Astyanax mexicanus: one gene and its partners. The protein of the gene in region 3 interacts with the protein of the main gene of each other region in a biochemical or structural test. Links are inferred from orthologs where the notes say so. Each region holds a gene or a part of one and is shown on either strand. Other genes may lie near its edges.

What was found. The genes of interacting proteins can lie anywhere in the genome.
Region 1: the proteins of ube2na (region 3) and hltf form a complex in vitro, tested with the Homo sapiens proteins (2 studies listed by BioGRID, with this or other methods). The link is inferred for Astyanax mexicanus from reciprocal best matches to the Homo sapiens genes UBE2N and HLTF.
Region 2: the proteins of ube2na (region 3) and rnf4 form a complex in vitro, tested with the Homo sapiens proteins (2 studies listed by BioGRID, with this or other methods). The link is inferred for Astyanax mexicanus from reciprocal best matches to the Homo sapiens genes UBE2N and RNF4.

What each region holds. Positions count from the first base shown.
Region 1 is NC_064425.1:42,845,168-42,853,432, forward strand, and holds the start of hltf (helicase-like transcription factor), read right to left. Parts: upstream 3,362-8,265; 5' UTR 3,230-3,361; intron 1,788-3,229; 5' UTR 1,781-1,787; coding exon 1,601-1,780; intron 1,168-1,600; coding exon 1,001-1,167; intron 513-1,000; coding exon 382-512; intron 1-381. Other genes in the region: slc35g2a (solute carrier family 35 member G2a), read right to left, coding at 5,994-7,053, 7,529-7,731. UniProt on the Homo sapiens protein: Has both helicase and E3 ubiquitin ligase activities. Possesses intrinsic ATP-dependent nucleosome-remodeling activity; This activity may be required for transcriptional activation or repression of specific target promoters.
Region 2 is NC_064417.1:19,060,897-19,068,223, reverse strand, and holds the start of rnf4 (RING finger protein 4), read left to right. Parts: upstream 1-3,966; 5' UTR 3,967-3,981; coding exon 3,982-4,104; intron 4,105-4,722; coding exon 4,723-4,834; intron 4,835-4,997; coding exon 4,998-5,074; intron 5,075-5,239; coding exon 5,240-5,252; intron 5,253-5,446; coding exon 5,447-5,570; intron 5,571-6,932; coding exon 6,933-6,984; intron 6,985-7,104; coding exon 7,105-7,254; 3' UTR 7,255-7,327. UniProt on the Homo sapiens protein: E3 ubiquitin-protein ligase which binds polysumoylated chains covalently attached to proteins and mediates 'Lys-6'-, 'Lys-11'-, 'Lys-48'- and 'Lys-63'-linked polyubiquitination of those substrates and their subsequent targeting to the proteasome for degradation.
Region 3 is NC_064416.1:21,041,735-21,050,004, forward strand, and holds the start of ube2na (ubiquitin-conjugating enzyme E2Na), read left to right. Parts: upstream 1-5,129; 5' UTR 5,130-5,256; coding exon 5,257-5,286; intron 5,287-8,270. Other genes in the region: c1qtnf13 (complement C1q tumor necrosis factor-related protein 4), read right to left, coding at 1-181, 2,798-2,825. UniProt on the Homo sapiens protein: The UBE2V1-UBE2N and UBE2V2-UBE2N heterodimers catalyze the synthesis of non-canonical 'Lys-63'-linked polyubiquitin chains. This type of polyubiquitination does not lead to protein degradation by the proteasome.

The sequences.
Region 1 (8,265 bases), on a different chromosome or scaffold from region 3:
CAGCTAATGAATATGTTTGCGGTGTTTTTATTGTTTTATTGTTTGTTCATGTGAACTTTGTCCGTAGTTAGCTAACCTAGCTTTATGCACCGCTAGCTGCGTTAGCCTAAGGTTGACATAAGGCATGGTGCTAATAGGCTCATGTTTGTTTATCTGTGTGTGTGTGTGCATCTGCACATCTGTGCGTAAAATGGGTGCAACTTAATTATAGCTGAATGCAGCATTCATTAGAAGTCTAGAACAAACATTTAGACATATAGTGCAGCTTAAATATATTAATAGAGCCTACAGGTGGTAAATCCAGGTACGGAAGTTAAAAATCTGTCCCAGATGTTTTCCAGATTTCTATCTAATAGAGGAGCTGAGGTGGGCTGAGCTTACCTTTCACAGCGTTGAGTTTGTATCCGTGATTTTTCATCTGAGAGTGTACCGCCTCCTGGTTCTCCTCTCTACCCCAGAATGTTAGGGTTACAGTCATGGTGAATGAATTTGTCTTTCCATAAGGAACCACCCTGAGAAAACAACAGCAGAGCTGAGAACCACAGCTTTATGCCCTCATTATTAAACTGAACCTTAACTTCTCAACAAAAGCATGTGCAGCATGAATAAGCACTTTCTCTTCTCTCTTACTTTCTCTGTCTGTTAATTATTTTTATTTATTTTATTTTTATTTATTTATTTAGGCAAACAAAAAAGGCAACAGGTTGACTTGACGCACTTGTCAGTCAATGCAATCAAATACTCACAGATACTCTGTTTTACTAAAATCTAATAGAAAGCCTTCTCTGGACAGTAAAGACAGTTCCTCCAACAAAAGCAAGATAAACTCTTTTTAAACCCTTGATTTCACAAGAAACCGTGAATGAACACTTTTTTCAATACTTTTCCCCATATTTTGCAATGTGTTTAATCCCCACAAGGGGATGCTTTCTTGCTGAAGATGCTTATAAATGGGTCAGTACCGTGTAGCAGAATGGCAATGATCTAAACAATGTCCTACCCTTCCACTCGGGCCAGATTACGGTCCATTATGAAGGCCAGCGCCGCTGCCAGCTCCTTTTTTATGTGTCCCACCTGACTGCCATACACGTTAGCCACCATCACCGCGTTCCGATCGTACGGGTTCTGCGGTTGCCTCACCAGAGCCACCATCTCACCTCTATTCACCTGCAGAACAGAAGTTATGAATCAAGCATACCCACCTACTCTACAGAACTGGAGCTATAAATATAATATAGCTTACAAACAATAGCAGCTCATACCACAGTTAGCGCTGTAGCTAAAAATAAGCTAATATAGTAAATATTTTAGGCTATGGAAGCTAATGCGCCAACAATTAGCACTGGAGCTAACTGCATGTCCAAATAAAGAGATGTTCAGTAATCTCTAATAGACTTGATTATGTATCTATAAACATGGCTTTGCTAAACCAAAATAAATAATAACAATACAATTAACTTTAAAGTATTGCTTTGAAGTGAAACAATACAAAGTAATAATGATTAAAAAATATATATGTTAACTATTATTATTATTATTATTATTATTATTTGTTTATTATATATTTTTTTTTTATCAGTGTACGTATGATGGCTCATACCGTTCCGGTGTAGTACCTCAGACCCACTATGGTTCCCTGAAAGGTTCCAAAGCACCGGTTCTCCTCCTCCGCGTCCTGATCATGGGTGGACTCAGAGGTGGAGCTGCTCTGGGAGGGCTCCTCCTCCTGCAGATCAGAGTGAGACACACCCCCAAACCTCCTACTCCCCAAACCACGCATGCTGGAGCTGAGAACACAACACAGAACCCACACAAACAAAACATAAAGATGCTGACAATGCACAAAACCCACACTACTCAAGGTTTTAAAGAGTGCCATAGTGGCTGCCCTTCTTTGAGGAAAATAAAAAGTGATTCAGTGCTTGCTATGGTGCACCATGCAATATTATGCAATTATTATGATGTGCCTCTAGTTCAATAAATGGTAATAATGTGTTTTATGCCATCACTGTGTCACATACACATACCATTATTAAACTATTTGTCAACAACTATTTTGAACCCTGGCCAGCACAGAAACACACACACACACCCTATATGAATTTAGCGCACAACTGAAAAATTATTTATTCATTGCTGTTGCCAACTATTATTGTAGTAGTGCACAGATAGTTTATTAAAAACACTGTTTATACACACAGTGTAATCAGCTCTCCCTCCTGTCCGCCCCTAAACCCATACATCACCCAGTGCCCCTCCCAAACTACTCCTCCCATTTTTTGAGCCCTTTTATGGGAATTACATAGTAAACAAAAAGTATTTGTCCTCCACATTAATCCCCTGATCTAAACCTGATGAACTAAGATGAACTGAGATGGTGATTTGAGGTGATTTGGGATGAGCTGAAGCTTCACAGCATGAAGGAAAAGCAGAAACTATTGTTCAGCACATCCAGGAACTCCTTCCTTCAAGAAACTGAGAAAGCTATTCCAAGTGACTCTTTCTCATGAAGACACTGAGATTAAAATACTAAAAGTGTGCAGATCTGTCCTCAAAGATAAATGTGCAACTTATTTAGAAGAATCTAAAGTATAAAACATATTCTGTTTTGTTTAACAATTTTTTATTTACAGAAAAAGTCTGAATATTATCCAGTATAGCTTTAATATAGTCTTTAATTGTTAAATGTACAATGTAAAAAAAACAAAAAAAAACAAAAAGAAAACACATTAATTGAGAAGAGGTGTGTCAAAACTTTTGTAATACTGGTTCTGTATATGTACAGTATATATCGTTTTATTCTAATTTTATAGCTGGCAGTTTACAGTTGCAGTGTAAAAAAAAGACATTTAAATGATAATAATAGTTTATTAGCTAGATTAACGTTAATTGTGGGGAGCACCTTTCTCTTAACAACATTGACCTGCTGTTAGTGTAGTTTCAGAGCTCCAGCCATTTAAAACATTTAAATAAACTTTTATTCAATGTTAGAGTTTTAACAATAAGCGACTTTAATAACACTAATGTTAAATTATAAGTTATAAGTTAGTTTTTAAGTTTGTTTTTTCTTTGTCAACATAAAAAGATGTATGTTAAGTTAGCTAATGCGACCAAAACATTACCCTCACGTTTATTTAACGTTCTCTTGTGTCAGGATGCTACACTCACGCGCACGGGCGCTGTATTTACTAAGTAACTAGAACAGGTGTACGCGTGCCCGCGCACTCACCTGTCCGGCAGGTTTACCTGCAGCTCGGCCGGGTCGCTCCGGACTCCGATTACCGTTGGTTACTTCTGGTTCCTGTTGTCAGGTTTTTAGCGCGCGCGGAGTTGCTCTGCAGTTGATCTGCAGCGGGGCGCGCGCTGTGTGGTGGTGCGAGTGTGTGAGCGCGTGCAGCGCCCCCTGCTGGTCGGAGCGGCGGTGCATTTAGAGTGTGTTAGTGCACCAGAGGGCTCCCCCCTCACTGACTACAAAACGAATAGGTTTAAATGGGGCAATTAAAAAGCCAATAAACCCTAAACCATATTGTTTTCCATTAATAGTTGAAATGTGTTCATTTGAAAAAAAAATGAAACATACCAGTCCTGCTTAAAAAAAAATTAAAACATTTTCTTACCTTTAAACAACGCTTTTATTACGGTCATTTTCGCTTCTGAATCGCCCCCTCAGGTTCAACTGTGCTATAGGCGTGGATGATGATTCCATGTATTTTGGTATGCAGACACATCACAATAGGCAAATTAATGAATCAATATTACCGCCCCCCCTGCTGACGTCCAACCATCTGCGTCTCACCGCCATCAGAAGTGCAGCTCAGCAAATCAGCTCCTCCTCCTGCCCAGCCTCTAAACCCATACATCACCCAGTGCCTCTCCCAAACTTTGCCCATTTTTTGTCCTTTTTTAAATCAGAGGTTTAGTGCCCCTTTAAGTTTATGAATGTTTAATCCTTTTTACACTTAAAACTTTACTCATTTCCTTAACACAGAACAAGTAGGTTTTATCATTGTAGACATAATTTTAAAAGCTTTTAAACTCCAGTTATAAAACTTTTAAACTCACCAACCAGTCAGCAGATATATATAAAACACTAGAGACCCTGATTTAAATAAAAGTAAAATGAATTAAGCTGCACACTTAAGTGGGAGTACTAAAGTATTTAACATTTAACAAACCGTGTGCCAGTGTGCCAGTGTAGATCATCTTCTACTCTGGCTTCAGTGAAAATGTGGGTTTGGAATGATTCCTAACATTTTTATAATTGTAACGAGTAACAATGCAGCACTCAGTGGGCATCCTCTAGGGTTAATTTTAGTGGTCACTGTTTTTTTCTTCTAATTTTGTACTCTGTAATTTTGTTTTAAATAGGAAATCTCCACATTTCTGAATGTCTGTCTAAAATTCAGAATGTTTTATAGAGACAGTTGAAAATGTAGCACACAGGAACTGATGTAACTTTAATTTTAACTTTAACTTTTAATTTAATTTAATTTTCTTTAATTTAATCAAACACAAATATATAGAATATTATTTTATTATTGTTTTATTCTTAAAATAACAAACACACATACACTTTAGCAACAACCACCAGCAGGGGGCGCCCTCACCCCACTGCACACACACTGCCACCACCTGTGCTGGAGTTCTGAATGGGTTCTGGACCAGGAGGCGGAGTTTCTGATAGATCACCTGTTTATTCTGTACAATTAAGATTTCTCAATGACACTTAGTGGTTAATGATCATGAACAAGTAAACAAGGGTCACTGACGGGTCAGCGGAACAGTGGGTCAGGTGATTGAGATCTGAACACTTTTTTTACAGAGTTTCAAAAAAACTATTCAGAACAATTAATACAACTGAAATCAATAATCAATAAACAATCATCAAATAAAGTAATTAGGATTCATTTAAAATTGAATTACACAAAACACTAGATAAACACAATGGTACACAAACTACCACTAAACTACACCGACTACCCCCCCACCCCACCCCACACCCCCCCACACCCTCCATAAACCCTACTAGAGCTGGATCGGATTACCCTTAATCAGACATTTCATCCAGTATGAATCTGCTGTGTGCAATTATACTACTAACTGTAATGTAATTTTAATCCAGTATTTATTCTTTCGATTTTAATCCATTTAATCCTGCAGTGTGTAGTTATAATGCAAATAATAGTAATAATCATAAACTGACTTTAATCCAGTATGAATCTTTGGTGTGAATTTTTACTACTAACTGTAAACCAATTTCGATCCTTTATGAATCTGCAGTGCTTATTCTTTCAGTTATAAATGAAAACTCATTTTAATTCCATATGAATCTGCAGTGTGAAGTTTCAGTAAAATTCTAAACCAATTTTAATCCAGTATGAATCAGAAGTGTGTAGTTTCAGCAATACTTGTAAACTAATTTTAATTCAGTACGAATTCTGACAATAACTGTAATCTGTTATTAATCTAGTATGATTCAGCAGTGTGTAGTTTAAGTAATAACTGTAAACTGATTTAAATCTAGTATGAATATGTTGAGTGTAGTTTACCTGTTAAAAACAGATTTAATCCAGTATAAATCTGTAGTGTAGTTTAACTATGGAAAACTTATTTAATCCAGTATGAATCTGTAGTGTAGTTTAACTATGTAAAACTGATTCAATCCAGTATGAATCTGTAGTGTAGTTTAACTACGGAAAACTGATTTTATCCAGTATGAAGCTTCAGTGTGTAGTTTACCTATGACAAAAAAAATAATTCAGTATGAATCTGTAGTGTGCAGTTAACCAACAGAAAACTGATTTATTTAGTATAAATCTGTAGTGTAGTTTAACTATAGAAAATTAAATTAATCCAGTATGAATCTGTAGTGTGTAGTTTGTACAATCCGACACTAATAACCCGGTATGAATCTAATCCAGCTCTAATTGGGCTTTGGTCTTTAGTTTACAACTTGGCATTTAGACAAAGTGAAAATAAATAATTGAACTCAATTATTTAATTGGCGAATCGAGGATCTCCTCGTACTCCTGCCTCCGACTCTTCCCCACCCAGAACAGCTTCACTGCCGCCAGCGCAACAACGCTTATGATGATGACGAGGCCTCCGACCATGTCGTAGACGGACGGCACCATGTGCAGGACAAGCAGCTGCAGCAGAGCGGCCACCACAATCTCCAGGTGCTGGACGGTGCTGACCAGAGCAGGGTGCAGGCGGTTCAGGGCGTAGTACACCCCGAGGAACGCCACGGTGGAGCAGAGACAGATGCTGATGAGGTACGCCCAGGTCTCCCCATCCAGAGGGATGATGGGCTCCTGCAGGACGAACATGGTGCAGGCGCCCCACAGCGTCCCCGTCCAGCCGAAAGTGAACAGAGCCGTCCACATGCTCACCTTCTCCTTAATTGACCTGTAGACGATCATAGACAGAGCGGCGGTCAGGCCTGCCATGACCGTCATGGTGTACCCGAACGCCTCCTTCCAGAACCCGAGCGACCGGTCCTCGCTCACGATGTTGGGCACCATGACCAGGCAGAGTCCGAACACGCTGCTGACCACGGTGACCATGTCCACTGCACCCAGACGCTCATCCGTGAGCAGGAACGCTAGCACGGCACTGAACACCGTGGTGGTGGCACGCCACATGATGGTGCCGTTGCTCGGCGGTACGATGGCAAAGGAGGTGTAGGCGCAGGAAATGGAAATGACGTTACACACGCCGTAGAAGAAGAGCCGCACCCGGTAGCCACTGGGCCCGAACGGCTCCTCCTGGTGGTAGAAGACCACGGCGACGGACAGCACCTGCAGGACCGAGCGGATGAAGAGCAGCTCCAGCGAGGGAACCCTAGAGCGGTCAGCGGCCAGGCGGGTCAGCAGTGCCACGCAGCCGTGCGCCAACGCCGCCACGAACAGTGCCCCCCACGTTAGCCTCGAGGAGAACACACACGCCTCCCCGAAACTCTGCAGCTGACCTCCGACCCCACTGCTGACCTTCTGATCCCCACCGGGTTTGGGCTGACCGTCCACAGAGCCAAAAAACGTCCGGCCCAGTTTACTGTGGATAAAAGTAACAATAATAACTATATTAACAACAATAATAACAATAACCATAATAACAGTAATAATGACAGCAATAATAGTAATAATATTATTAGTAACAGCAGTAACAACAACGTTAATAGTAATTCTACTAATAGTAATAACAATAGTGATACAATAATACAAACTACAATAAAAGCAGTCCAATTTGCAATTTAACAATACATTAATGTATCCAAACTTATGATAACTATTAAGTTAACAATAAATTATATCATATATGTAAAATTAGCTCCACCCCTATAACCTATAACGGTTAAAAACTGTTGTACCTGTGTAGTTATCTGATAAAAGCAGTAGTTACTGACTATATTGGCAATAATAAAAGCTATGGTGTAAAACTGTGCTGTCGTGAACCAAAGAAACAGTGTTTCAGTTTACCACACAGTAATTAAACTCCACCCCAGTTTGTGGGCGTGGCGTGTACACACCTCTGAGGTCCAGTAGAGGTCAGCCTCTTCCGGTCGGAGGTCTCTTCTACAAAGGAGCCGAAATCTTCGAAGCTCGGGGCGTCATCGTATCCCTCTTCTCCAGGCTGCGGGAAGTGGGTGGCATATTTCACCGTCACCGTGTTGGGGTGGATCTTCACCTTCTTCTTCGGGCCGAGCAGGTGTTTACTCGGAGAGTCGTCCATGTCTCTTCCTCCGGCTCTGAGAGCTGAGAGAACACACAGAACCGAACAGAACCATCAGAACCTTATCACTGTCTATATATCTACAAGTATTCAGACATGTAGAAAGCACTAGAGGCTTTCTAGACTTGAGTAAAGTACTATATCAAAAAAGTGACTCTTTTAGTGTCCTATCCTATTAATATATCAATCTTATATCCTAATATATATATAAGTGCACCAGAGAAAAGGGCGTGTCTAAGACATACAGTTGCATTATGTCAGAAGAAAGTGTGCAGGGTAGGAGGCGTGGCCAAAGCAAATAGTTTTAGCATATTAAAATACGGTAGGCGTGATGGTGGGCGTGATTTAGGGAAATCAGCACCATATCACTATAAAGTGGGTGGGGAAAGAGGCTGGGATTTTCTCATATTGTCCATCATCTCAGAATAAAGCACTCAGAAAAGGGGGCGTGGCTAAGGTATAAAATTGCATTGTGTCAGAACAAAGTACCCCAAGTGAGAGGCGTGGCTAAAGCTAACAGTTGCATTATATTAG
Region 2 (7,327 bases), on a different chromosome or scaffold from region 3:
TTTACATTTTCTTCGAAAACACAAGTTACTGATTTATGAACTTTACTTGTGCATTTTTAATCAAACAAACTCATCAGCCATCATGTTATTTCCACAGAGATTATGTGCATAAATACAGCACTAAGTTGAACCTATAGATTGTATGTTTTGTAATATTTTATTATGCAATATCATTTTATACATTACTTCTTATTCTGAGGTGCTAAATTATTATTTGGAAATGCCAAATTACTTGAAGATGCTAAATCATTTTCAGATACTAAATCATTTTAAGATGATGGTTCATAATTTGAGGTACTACGTGATTATTTTGAGATGCTAGCTCATTATTTGGACTTACTAAGTCTTTATTTTAAGATTCAAGCTCATTGTTTTGAGGTATCAAATCGTTATTTTCAGATGCTCTCTCATTATTTGGACATGCTAAGTCGTTGTTTTGAGATGTTATTATTAGTTTGAGGTACTAAATAATTATCTTTAAATGCTAGCTCATTATTTTGAGGTACTAAATTATTATTTTGAGATGCTAGCATTATTTTTTAGATAGTAATGAGAAAAAATAATACAAGCTGGACTTTTTATGTGGTGGGAGTGGCCTTCCATCGTATGGGTTGCTTCACATTTGCAAAGTTATAATGAAAAAAAAAAGACAAATTATTCAGGTTCACTCTTTATGTGGGTACTGTCTGAAACGATACTTTTGATAGTAAGAGCTCGGGGTAAACCCCCCGGCCAGCGGGCGGCGCTGTGGGCGCTTCAGTGACTGTACGCTGGGTTGTATTTTCCGGTGGTTTGAAACTGAAGCTGGACTGATTTTTCTGCTCAGATTACCAGAGTATGTAGACAACCCGTTTATTTACCCGAAACCGTGTTTAAAAACCGAACCGCGCTGTACTGTAGATAAGCAGCAGTGCTGGAGCGGGAGCTGAGAGGAGAGAGACTGGGAGGGGAGGGGAGAGGCGGGCTGGTGAACTGTTTATCGGTAGCGCTCTTAGCTTGGTATTATTGTACTCGCCAGATTTAGCCAGCTCTAGCTTTCTGAAGTGCGTGTGAAATATGGCGTGTGGTTTGCTAGAAGCGTTTTACTGATAAACTGTTCAGAGCTCGGTTCTGTGTTGTGGCTCAGTAGTATGTTAGCTACAGATCGTTTAGTGCCGTTATTGTCAAAATAGAAGATTGAGTACATCTGATGCACCCAGATCCACTGACTAAGCTGTAAAGCTAGTAAGCTAACCTAACTAGCTAAAAATGAGCTATGCTAACTAAAGAACAAATGATTTCTGATTCGTTTTTTTCTGACCTGTTTGAGTCAGTCACGTTCCTATCTAAAATTATGGTTTATCTAGTGAAAACTGGTAGTTCCAGATATTTATACTAGTAGAAATTTCCATATATATATATATATATTTTTTTTTTGCTGCATTATATTATTTTATGCTATTATTTATTTTGCCACATTATGATTATTCTGTTATACTATTATACTATATTCCTGAAATTAATTAATTATTTTTCTGTTTTCCTATATCGCCAAGTATATCCTTATCACAAAAATACCCTGAAATATCCTGATATTATTTTAGAGCCATATCGCCCACCCCTAATATATAATTTAGCTTAAGTTACACTGTAAGTCTGACTATAGTATAAAATCCAGGTCCACATGTTTATAAATAAGTAGTAAGTATAGATGCCTAGCTACAATTTGAGTTTTGACTAGCAATAATGGTATAATTGATGTTTATGATATGGTGTTGTGACGAGTCAGAATGATTTACTAGTAACAAGCATTTAATATCTATTATTTTGTGTTTTCTAGCGAACGCTAAACAGTTAGCTAGGCCTTGTATTACTGGTGTTACTAAACACCAATTTGCTAACTTGCTATGGAAACCTTGTAATTAATGATCACTGTCTAACCTTATATACATACTCCAGTTACAGATAGCCATGATTATTTGTATTAGTAAATTTCACATACACTGCCTGACCAAAGAAAGTCTCCACCTTCATTTAACTAAACAAATGATCTGGGGTTGCTGCAGTTGGTCAGGTCTAGGTTCAGCAACAGTATGTGCTGAAAGAATGAGGTCAGCTGACTACCTGAATATACTGAATTATACCTGGTTCAGGGAGCATGAGATCATTTTCACCATAGAGTTCAGATCTTAAGCTCATTGAGAATCTTAGGGATGTGCTGGAGAAGGCTTTGTGCAGCGGTTAGACTCTACCGTCATTAATGCAAAAACTTGATGAAAAATTAATGCAACACTGGATTTAAATAAATCTTGTAACATTGCAAAAGTTTTTTTTTTTTTTTTTTTTTTGAAAAGGCAAATCTGACTATAGTAAAATGTCCAGGTCCATATATTCAGAAATTAATTTTGACTAGTACAAATTCTTATTCAAGATTAAAATCTCTACTAAAAAGTTTTGACTAGTGGATATTTACATAAAGAATAGGTACAATTTGTGAACTAAACTACAGTTTGAGTTTGGCTAGCAATAACATATTTAATGTCTAAAACTATAACCGTAATCTGACTAGTCAGAATGATCTGAAGATCTAATAAAGTGATTAGCCTATAGTCCACAGCTGATATCTGATATTAGGTTTTTACTAATAGAAACTGAATTAAAAGTTGTCTTGCTGGTGTCTTTCGAGCCCTGATTTTCAGGGGTTGGGGTCTTGTCAGTAAAAACAAATCATTGACAACAGTTAACAACTGACTTAACAACTACTGCTGTCTTTTTGTTAATCACATACATATTACAGTTTGTTGCCCTAACACACCTATTTTCCCCCCATGGTCTGTTTTTTCCATCTGAAACCATGTAAACAGTAATCACATCATACTTACGTACAAACTTCAAAGTTGGACTTGAAGGCAGCATTAACCATGTCTGTGCTAAAACCAGTGGCTTTAACATTTAGCTTAACCAGTCTGTTTTTCCCCCACAGCTGGTGTTTACACCCTAGGTTTATTGGAAACCGTGGGGAACTTGCTCAGTGTAGCGACTATCAATGTACCTATTCCATCCAACGTGACGCCTTCAGAGACTGACCCAGCCACAAACCACAACATGAGTAGCGTGGTAAGTTCTTTTGATCTTAACTTTTCTACTAATTATAAAGATTAATTCTTACTAACTGTAGAACCGTGTCAACTATATACTATAAGTGTCAGTTTTATTATAGTCCTAGATTAGTGTTGCTCAGTTCTGCTTCTGGAGATCCATCACACTGAAGAGTTCAGATCCAATGCACTTGGGCTGATGCAGTCAAATCAGATTGGTTTCTCAAATCAGATCTTTTGAGATGATTTCACACTGCTATTTGCAAGTGAGCATATTGACCTGTCTTAACATTACAAATTTATCTGCATGGCTTTCTATGGTAAGAAACTCTTCTTGATGGTTATCGTTTGGTGAGTAATGCAAAAGACAGATGGTAAAATATTTTTTTTAACCACTTCCAAATGTCATTTGGATCTGCTTTCTGAAACTCAAAAGTTTTGTGGTTTCTGGACAAATTATCAAAAATCCATCTGGATACTAACTAGATATGCTACAAATCAAATTTCAGCTTCTTAACAAGCCCTTTCAGTATGGCAGGGAGTGTGTTAAGGCAGACAATCTTCTACGTCATGATTAGGATTGAAGAACACTGGTCTACAATATAAACACGTTTCATATGTTACAGGCTCTATACCACTGTAATGTTAAAAAAAAAATAAAAAGATGAATTTTTGTCATTGTTGGCCTTCTATACATCTAGATGTCCAGCTCAACACAGGCCTCATGCCTAGAAGTTATTCTTGTGACCCACAACACACCACAGTTTTATTACTACCTGTCGTAGCACAGCTGACCTAGCTCATTAGCTAATTGAGATTTCTCAATCTGATTCAGCTGTGTTGGGGCGGGAATGTTGGAACTCTGCTGGGCTTTGGGTTGGTACAGGAAAGGGTTGATGGCCTGATGGCTTCTAAGCAGCAGGAGTCTGTGGTGAGCTGGACGTGTAGGAATATGCACAGCTTTGTGTCAACAGAAACACAGTTAAGAAATGCTGATTCAAACATCGAGGTCTTGAGGTCTGTCTGTGTATGTCTCTCTTTCCAATTTTGGTGCCAGATTTGCCAAAAAACATATGATCATTAAGCTAAACCAAAAACTAAGTTAAAAAAAAATGGAAAATTGGATTTTGTGTTTTATATATAAAACAATGTGAGGTTTTTTCTTACTCAGTTAAATCCTTGCAGAGGAGAGCCAAATGAAGGAAAAGCAAAATTTAAACTAAGCATAAAAAATGTGAAGAATAAGCTACACTTGTTAAATTGGACTAATTCTGGTAGCTTAACTAAATATAAAAAAACATGACTGTTTTGAGGCTTCTGAACTCTTAAAATCCAAGACAAATATAAAGCTACAGTAAAGTTCAATATATGTTTTCTTAAGAAAACCACATGTTCCTGGAATGTTCATAGGAAGATTTATTTTATTTTATTTTATTTGTTTACCTTTTTATTAGGTATGAAGTTTATGGGGAAAAAACATGTAAGGTCCTTTTGTGAATCCAGCTCCTGGTCATAAACCAGCCTCTCCCTGCACACTATGTTCACCCAACACCTGTTGAAGCTGTTAGCTAATTAGCCACTTGCATAGTCTGTTAATTTGTAGGGGGTGGAAACACTGCTGAACGTACCCTAAATCTTCTCACAGGCTCAAAGAAAAAGACGGTCAACTTCTTCATGTTCAAGACGCAACAACAAAAGGACTAGGACTCAGACGGTCATGGAAACTATCGATGTGTTAGAAAGTGACAGACTGAGCAGTAAGTTAATCAGTGTTGTTAAATCACTACATAACTTCCTTGGCACCCTTTTTCAGAAGAAGAGTCAAATTCAGCATTAGTTGTATTGTGAGAGTTCACTTTTCTTTTTAACCAGTCTTGTTTTCTTTTCTTCTCTGTTCTCCTCTTTTACTCTTATAAAAAGGTGAAGAGGTAGTAGACTTAACCTGTGAAGCATCTGAGCCAGCTGTTGTGGACCTCACTAATAATGATTCTGTTGTGGTGAGTTCTTAGCTCAACATTATTCTTAGTCCAATATTATTGCTTTTAATAAAATGAATGAAGGCCCCTTCCCTCAAAGACTTTGTTGTGTGTTGGATATTTTGTCATGATTTTTATTTTGCTTTTTCTCTTTTATTTCTTCTTTTATTGCCTTGTGGAAATCAGCTTGTGGAAGAAGGTAATTAATTCCCTTTTCATGTTTTTAATGGTTCACAATGTTAGTTAGTTGTAGTATTGGAATACTGATGTAACTTTTAGATCAGTGAATGTACATTTCAGCTTGTTTAAAGTCTCTGGTTTATGAAAGACGTGGAATGTGGCATATTTTTATTTAGAGTAAGTATACATGTGTAATTTATTTGATTCTCTAAGGCACGCATAGCAGACGTGGACAAGGCACAGAGAGTTACGTCTTAAGCAGCGATGAGGACGAAGAGCCAAGTCTAAACCTCAATCCAGCTGTACTGTCATCACTTCGAGCAAGCAGCACAGCCAGGTAAACCTTACACAGCGTTCAGCGTACTGCTGATGCCTTAATCATGATCATCTTACCATATAGGAGCACTTTGTAGTTTGTAACTAGAGACTGTAGATCCTCTGTTTCTATGCATACTCTTTGATTTGTTAGTCTAATTTCAACCTGTTGCTCAATGATAAGGACCCCATGGGATGGTGATGGTGGTGGTGTTTGTCTGTGGAATGTAGGAATAAGTGGATGTAGTTGGTCCACCTTGTAGATGTGAAGTCAGAGACAGAAGCTCTGAATCTTGCTGCACCCATTGTGTCTCACTCTCTAGTCCTTCAACAAAGCACATAGTATGCTGTTGGCTGGATATTTCTAACTGGTGGAATATTCTCAGTCCAGTGGGGTCATGATCATTAAAGAACCGGCTTAAAGGAGGATAAAGGTACAGAGATTTAGAAGAACTACAGTCTGTAATTATGGAACTGCAGTGAGCTATATGCTCAGTGGAGCTCATATAGAATTACATTACGTCCAACAGACACCTGTTCATCTAGTATTAATTGAAACAGGTCCTGTACTGCTGCTTTTTAAAGTTTGTTGTCCAGTATTTTCGTATTTTTAAAATTTTCTAAAAAGCCTTATAAATTCTATATATCTTAGCAATACTATTATTTTGAAGTGCGAGCTTGCAGTGTGTATATATGTGAAAATTATTTATGCATGCCAAATAAAAAAAGATTATGAAAAGAGTATGGTGCCTTTGTTTCTGATCAAACCTGATCTTACCATCTAGGGCTACGTTTACATTACCAGGCTGAAGTGACTCAAATCAGATTTTTTTTGCTCAATGTAGCTGAGATCTGATTTTTTTTTTATGGCTGTGTGAATGTGCTAAATCTGGTTTGAGTCACTTTTGTATGTGGTCATAAATTGGATATGAAGCCAGTCCATGGACATGCAACCTGAATGTGAACAGTACAATTGAAATTCATTAGTCTTTCTGTTTTTACACATCCGTTGCTTTTATAATGTGAAAGTAGCCATAATCTTTCAACTGCATATATATATATATATATACACACACACACAAAAAAATGCAGTTGAAAGATTATGGCTACTTTCATATTACTTTCACAAAACTATTAGTGAAAGTAAATATTGCTAAATTAATTAAAGTAATTCTGGAGAATGTCTGTTGGTCGTTCATGCTGAAATATTGACTGTCTTCTAGATTCAAATTATGTCCAAATAAGCAGCACAAATTGAGATTGTGTTTGTTTGTTTTTTTACCACATTTATTTTAGCATACTTTGAAACTTGATGCTGTGTAAAAAAGGTGAAACTGTAAACCCCAACTGTGTCACCACTGATGGTGTGGGTTCTTATTCACAGGTCAACACCAGGAGCTGTTAGCTGCCCTGTATGCATGGATGCCTATGCTGAGGTAAAACTGAGATACAAATCTGTATCTAAAGCGTTATATAGTCACTGTGGATTTTGTGTAGATACACACGCCTTGTGTAGTCTTTCTCCATGCACTGAACTCTTCACCGCCTTTCCCCAGATCATCGAGAGCGGCCGGCTCATGGTCTCCACCAAGTGCGGACACCTCTTCTGCAGCCAGTGCATTCGTGACTCCCTGGCCAGAGCTCATTCCTGTCCCACATGCAGGAAAAAGCTCACACACAAGCAATATCACCCAATATACATCTGACATGTCACAATAAGATGTACTTTAACTGACCAGTGTGACCTGAGCAGTGCACTTTCAAAACCGGTTTGTATGT
Region 3 (8,270 bases):
AGGCGGTCGAAGGTTACGGCTCGCTGAGAGCCACCCAGCACGCTGCTGCTGCGCGTGGCGGAGAAGGCCGAACCTGAGCCGGGCATCATGGGAGGGCTATGGAAAGGGGTGGCGATGGTCAGGCAGGCGAACAGAACTGTAAGACAGAACACACTTCTGGAAGAGCTCCAGAAGGTCACACCTGGGAATAGGACACAGTGGGTGAAGACAGTTAAGCAGATATTTTAAATTTGTGTTTTGTGTCATTAATTTATAATTAAAAGTGTTGTCAATATTTTATTTATACATTCATATTTCAATCATTAATATACATGGACAATAAATAAAAATGCAACTGAGACAATATATTTCTTTGAATACAGGGCTGCAAATCATAACAAAAACAAAGATAAAAAAACAAATCTTTAATAGAAGTCAAGAGTTAATTTATCCTAGAGTTTGAAGACAATGTAGAGAAAAAAAAATCCATGTTCAAATCAAGTAAAAATGTTAAGAAAAACAAAATGTAAAAAATTTACTTTTTTACATTTATGAAAAAAAAAATCATTAATTCATTTATTATTAAGATAATTAATTAAGATAAGCTGTAGTGATTTATTAAATTGTGTACACAAAACATCTGAAGGTGGTGCAAATTTATAAAACAAATTATGAAATTCATATTTACAATTTGTGTATTTACTCCGTTCAGACTCTACATCATAAATGCAGTAGTATAATTATTAAAAATTGTTTTATTGGCTTTCCAATACACAGCAATGCATTCAAACTTTCTAAAATGTCTCTGTAGTCATATTGCATTGACTAAAAAACAATAACCAAGCATCCTAACATGTTAGTTTGTAGAATGTAAGAGCAGGAATGTCTACACAAAATTATTTATACCTGTAGAAATTTTTTAAGCAAGTGTGAAAAAAGTTTGCGCACCCAGATATTATATCATTATGTGTAAAAAGACAAATATAAGACATAGACACAAACATTCTATAATCAAACACAACACTGCAGTGGCTTGTTGTACTAATCAGTAACACATTCAACTCACTGTTTAAAATATGCCAAATATTTTAATTACACTCGCAAAAAAATTCTGCATCAACAAAATCTTTTACACACCTGCACAAAACTATTTCACGCATACACAGCTGCAAATGCACATGCACATAAAAGGTAATATACAACTGCAGATGCTCGATTATTTATCACCCTCATTTGACTCCATATAAACACTGCTCCAATGTAAACTAATGAGTTTACTTTTTATGCATATTTAAAGGTGGAAAAACAGGATCTCAAGGGCCTTAACCTCCATCTACTGGCGAAGCACTGAAGTGGTTGAAATGCCATTCGGACGGGTTAGGAAGTCTGGTTTAGCCTTGTCAGACTACATTCTGCCTTTCATATCAAGTGCTCAGTCAAAGCAGTAACGCCTCTAATTCAGCTGGTATTGTCTGTTCACTCTGTGCACAGGCAGAAGGCTATAGATTAGGCCCTGGTTCATCTGCTCCTGTGTCCTGGAACAATGGCATATTTGGGAGAGGATGATGTGGGCCATGAGATAGCATTTTTTCCCTCCCTTTGCTGATAAGTAAAGATCCTGTTTGAAAGTAATACATGAAGGTCAGAAGAAGATGTTCTGAGGGTCGGTTTATGGAAAAGGAGTGATGAATTGTAATGAATTGTATAGATTGTGGTTGGAGTGTAAGACCAGACTGACCTGAACAAATAAATCTAAGTGCAATAGTGACAAAGTCATTACGCAATGCTGATGATTTATTCATGAAATTAAAATGTGCATCAGATTATGATGCTAAATATAAAATAACTAAATGTAATTACATCAATGTACATCAGAGAGACTTATGTGATGTGCAATCTGGATATAATATCCAATAAATTAGTTCAATATAATCGTATAGATTATGTAGCTCACTGTTCTTTAGTTTCTGTATCAAACAACTTGAATTTCAGTTTTATAAACCCTGAAATAGAAACTGGTGTGACTCCACAAGGAGTTATGATACCATCAGAAAATTAAAATCACATATTTCATAGCTTTTGCATGAAGATTAACAAGTAATAAGTAATGTACAAGTAACAAGTAATTAACAAGTAATAAGCCAATGGTTTTATGGGTTAATGTGTTGATTTGTTGTAAATACATTTTGAGAAAATACACACATAAACAAATACCTTTCCAGACTCAAATGTACCTACAACCCTCTATCTGAATGTCTCAGAGAGCTCTTTGGATCTGGTAATGGTGATACTACTCACATCAACACACTAGTCAAGAACCAACAAATTAAATTCAATATGTTTATGGGGTTTAAATATGACAGGCTCCCCTCTAGTCTTGTTCTAACCATTATAGTCATTCTAGCTATTTAAAAAAAATGTGGGGTGTAATACCTTTTACAACATAAATAATTTGTATTTATATTAATTATGTTTCACGTTTTTGTCCTCTTTTGTTTGTTCAGTATTGTTAAATCAGTTCTTTATGAGAAACTGCTATTATAATGTTTGCATTAGGTCTTCTCAGTCAACATTTTCTATTCAGAAAGTTTTTCTCTGCATCAGTTGACCGTGTTCTCAGCAATAAACCCAAAAAGCAAAAGCATTGCATGAACTAACTGTGGCCTAGAACGTCTGATTACTCAACTGTTCGACACTTTTTCATCTAAGGTGACAAAATACAAGTTAACACGCTGATTTGAATCTGTTGTTCTACCTATTATTTCCTTTTTTTAGCAGCAGCAGCAGCAGCAGAAGTGGTGATTCCTGTTCTACATACCTGTTCTAGGCAGTTGCAGAGAGTTCATGTCTCTCACCAGCTGTGTTCCTCTCCTCCTGCGAGCCTTTCCAACACTCAGCAGCCACAGCACTGATAACCAACTATTTTAATCCTCCTGCGCAGGACCAGCTCATCCAAGATCCAGTGCCCCCTCCCTCCAAAAGATTTCTCTTTCATTCACTCACTCACACACACACACACACGCACACACACTCACACACACACACACACACACACACACACACACAGCACTACCTCAGTCTCTCACTTTTGAACCACAAATAAAAAAAAATAGAAAATTATAAGAGTTTAGAAGACTCTATGCTCATTTTTTGTTCTGAGGTCATGCAGATCTCAGGCCACCTTTAAAAAAACATGTTTAACTTTGTTACATCAGCTGAGTACTTCATGACGTTTCCTCATTTGACCCGGACTGTAACATGATTTGATTTTGATCTGGTGACACATTCCAAAAGTTCCTCAATATAGAATTATACACATCTGTGCCGAGTTAACATCTTTACGGGAAAAGGAATAACAACATTTAACTTTCAGAGGAAATCAATCTAAAAAGATTTTACTTTAACAGATTCTCATCATGTCTGTTACATGTCTGAAACAATTTAAACTGCTGTACACAATCATGTAATTTAAAATGTTAGTTATAACTATAAAATAAATTGGAAGAATGCTAATTGAGTTGCTGATTAGGTAATAAACAGCCACAGCAACATAGAACATTTAGAATTGATTGTGGAAGTGGATGTTATTCAGTTGTTAATTGCATCATTAGTAGCCATAGCAACATAGAAGAGTTAGAAATGAGAACTAATTTAGCAATATAGAAATTCCTGCAAATGGACAGACTTTGAGATGTATTGAGTGATTAGAGTATGGGGTAGGGAATGGGCTGGGCCATATGTGTAATCCTAATTGTTTTGTCCTCTTTGTGTATTATTTCACTTTAAAAAATGAGGAGGAAAAAGTTGCGGGCAAATCTCCCTGGGATTAATAAAGTATAGCAATATGAACAGCTAAATTAAAACTAGTTTACAGTGTGGTTTTCAGTAAAAAAATATTTTATTTTATAAAAATAAAAAAACTTTATATGGACTAAAGTAATGAGATATCTGCTTTTTCTTTTTTTTTTATGCCAAAATTCCAGCTCAAGAACAGCTGGTCATCCAGAAAAAAAGACATATTCTGTGTTAGTCAGGAGTTACTTTTTTCTTTTAACATTTGTTTATTAAGCAGGAGTATAAATGTATTCAACACAAATATGTAATATCTCACAAACAATAAACACACCCTCCCTGCCGATTATGTCACATTTCCATTTTTTTTGCTACTTTCCAAGTATTGTAGAAGGGGATGTCAAGAGCTATTTTTAAGCTAGTCTGCCAGCATAGGGTATGTTTTTATCTGAATGCCCAGCTGGTCTTGAGCTGAATGTTTTAGCAGGATTGTTGAAGAAACTGTTTCTACTGGGGGAGGGGGGGGGGGGGGGGGTTGGGGTGTGGTGTGGTGTGGGGGGCTTAGAGATGCTTGGGCATTGGTGGGGTGTGCTGGTTGGTGATGGGTGATGGGCAGCCTCCGCTCTTGATAGCGTTTCTTTTGGCCGCGGGGCTGCTCGCCTATGTGGCCTACGCTGAGAGTCTGAGGTTAGCCGAAGTTTAAGGGTTAACTTTACCTGGCAATCTATCTTTGTGAGGGTAAGGCAGGTAGGCGATTTCTGCTGCAGTGCTGTTAGCTAATCAGAAGCTATATGTTTGCATGTGTGAATATTCATGAGCAAGAGCCGAAATCCTGTCTTTGTTTAGAGACCAACTTAGTTCAGTTAAACAGAAACACTAGAGCGCTCCGTTTTTTTTTAGTTTTTTTTAGTTTTTTTTAAACGGCTCACATGGCTTTCACTCATAATAGACATTTTAAAATGAACTAAAAACGATGGAATAAGACATTTAATAAATAAAATTATCATTTAAAATTGCCTTTTTATATTTACTCAGTTTATCTATGTCTGATTTGTTTGATAATCAGAAACATATCAGAATGACAAAAAGGCAAAAACAAAAGGGGGGGGGGTCAGAATTCTTTTTTCATGCTACTGTATTTTTTTTACTTTTATTGGATGGGTCTTGTGCTCTCTCCATTATATATAAAGTGACTAAAGCCTTAAACAATAGTACAGACTGTAATTGACTGTTTGACGCTGAGACGTCGTTAAATGCGTGCTGGTCTCTGCAGGACTGAAACGTGTGCGTGTTTTCAGGCGGAATGAAGGAGTCAAATGGCGCTGGACTGAGCGGGTGGGTAAAACTACATGTTCCAGGGTGAGCCGGGTGTGCGGCGGCGGCGGAGTGCTGGAGAGTGACGCAGCGCTGGGGGGCGTGTTCACTGCGTCTCTGAGAGGAAGAGGCACCGAGAGACGAAGCTAAAAAACCCGCATTCAAGACAAGATGGCAGGATTGCCCCGCAGGATCATCAAGGTAACTGTGAGGCGGATTTTCTGCGAGTAGCTCGTTCCTGCTTCTTGAATCGGGAAGCCGGGCGAGTCCGACACGGCCGCGGGGCGCAGCGCAACGCGGTGCGGCTGAGAGCGAGCAGGCGGGCGGCTGGGCTGGCTGGCGTTGTTTGCGCCTGCTGCTAGTGTTTGTTAGCCAGACACTTCCGTTCACCTCTCCGCTTCACCCGAATATGGGTGGGTTAAAAATACACGCACGGCGGGCTGGGAGCAGCGAAAATGGCGGAGGCTCGTCTCGTGTGCATAAACGTTTAAAATATCAGCTAAACGCGACGGTAGCGAGCAGATTACCGGGGTTTGAGAGAGCGAATAAGCAAGGTAGCTTGCTAACTTAAAACTGACGGTCAGGCTAGCTAGCTAGCTAACTGGCTAAGTTAGCATTAGCTATCTAAGATAGGTTAGCTAACTGACTGCTGCCATTCATCGATTGAAGCCTAGCTAACGCTAGCTGTGTGGCTAACAGGGCAGTAATATACTTAGTTAGCTAATCATAATCTTAGTTTGATAACTTAGAGTTAATAATCTTAGCACAAGGGTGCTTTAATGTGCAATAAGGTCGCATATGAACACACAGTAAATGAGCCACGGCCTCTTAAATGAAAGTAATCGCTAGTAGTTAAACCCCGCTTCGTGTACCGCCCGCTCTGTAGACCTAGCTTAGCTTATCTTAGCATAGTCAGCTAGCTAGCCAGTTTTAGTAGCTATGCAGCTTTTTCCGCGCTAGGCCTTAGCTAGCTTAGCTAACCTAACGCTAGCTCGAAACTAAAAGTAGCCGAATGTCATTGTAGGTGCCTTGTAATGTAGCTAGCTAGCCAAGCTAACTAGCTAGCTAGTTATGTCTGAGCGAATATAAAAGCACAGCGCCTTCGTTATTTCAGTAGCTAACAGCAAGTTGAGAATCACCACAGCATTAGATTAATTAGCTAAGCTATAGGTAGCTAACTAAGTGAAATATTACATTAATATTCAGATCGAGCTCGTGGCTATTGACCGCTCTACGAGCCTCTGCAGACAAGCCTCTAATGGCTGGTTTATAAAAACCCGTCAGATGGGGTGCCTCGTTTCAGATTTGTCTCTTGGAGAGAAAGATCACCACCAGCTCAACACCGCTCCACATTTATTCTTAATGTTTTTAATGCTATAATATAATCAATAAGTCTGTATTGGTATAAAGGCGTGTCCTGATGCTAGTGTTGGCCTGGTCCTTACACCCATGAGCTGCTAGCTCAGTGTCAGCAGGCCTGATGTTCCTGTGCCGCACCTTCATTTCCACAAGCCTCCAAAACAGGTTTTCTCATAATCTGATCTATCTGATTTTTTTTAACATAACTTCAAAAATAACACAATGATATCACGCTTCAGAACAGATGCAACACATTTTATGCATGAAGGTTAACTGGATGATTAGACTGATAAGCTAGTTAAATAGCTAGTATCACTTTGTTAGCCTTATTACAGAGGCAGTTCAAATATTGCAATAGACCCTGATAACTACAGAAATGGCGCAGTTACACACAGTTACAAAATAAAAACCGTGATATTATAACATTTTTGCATAGGTAAAAGCTAAAAAAGAGTTGCAGATTGTCTAAAGGGCAAGTATGATTGTGTGATTTCGCTGTCAACAGTATAAGCAGATGCATCGTACAATCTGCAGTGTGACGTGTATGAACAATATGAAAATGAAATTAATTAAAATGTAATGGATTAAAGTACCAACAACAGTCAAGTGAATTGACTTAGTCTTAAATAGTGTCCTGACACATGAGTTTTATGTTTTAAGTCATGGCAAACAGGTCACAAAAAAAATCCTAAAGTGTCTGTTAATTAAAAATATCTACTTTGCTATCTGCATGTTCCTCTTATTTTATTGTATGCTCTTTGTTCAGTCCCCATGCTCTTGTAGCAGTAATTGGATATTGTGTATGCACTGAGCATCACCAGTATTGTGGTCTGTTGGTGTGGGTGTGGGAGGGCTGGGAACATGAAGACCTTAAGCGTGAGACTGGGATTGGGAGCCCCTCTCTTGTCTGTGTTTTCTCTGCATGGTTTTGTCCATGGACTATCTGAAATATTTCAGGAATTTTCCTCTCTTGAGGGTATTTTGAATAAAGGAACAGGAACCTGCCAACCACCAAATTCATTTATTCATCAGTGTTGTGGGGATGAGCAGTGCGGCTGTATGATAGTGATATCTGTCTCTTTTTTTGCGTTATCTTTAGTAATTAATGCAGATGAGGTTATGTTGAATTTGTGTGATGACACCGATTTATCAAGGGCATTTACACTGTACCCTTAAAATATTTTGCATCACATTTTGACCTGTAATCATGCAGGTTAAAACTCTACTAGTGTGCATAGATTGATGAACGTAATGCAGAAATTATTGTCGTCTGACTATGATGCATGCAAATGAGCTACAGGAGCTGGATGCCATTTTTTTCAAGTTTAATAGGCCAGACTAAAAGTTGTGATTTTATTATTTTGTTTATTTAATACTTATGTAGCATAAAATAAGCTTTCCCATTTTTTTAAATATTTTTGATTGTCGTCTTACATAAAACATGACCTATGCAAGTGTGTTTTCAGTGTTTGTAGACCTTGATGCTCAGGCTGCAAATAATTTCCAATACCTGCAGATATATGGTAACAGAAAAAATGTTCGAAAATTCTATCTTAATACAACAGGGAAATAAGCATGACAACTATTTAATGTAAAGTAGTCTTATGCGCTACCAAATATGTATTGGCCAGTAAATGACTACATGTTTTCTTCATAAGTTTCATACGGCATGTTTTTTTTTATAAAATCTGGTTGCTCTAGCTGACTTTTGCAAATCAGAATCATGCAGTTTACATGTAAATATACTCCTTGTCATTAGATAAGTGGAGCTGTTGTTTAATCTCTGGAAATGTAATGATCAGGATTTGCACGTAGTGTAGTTGATG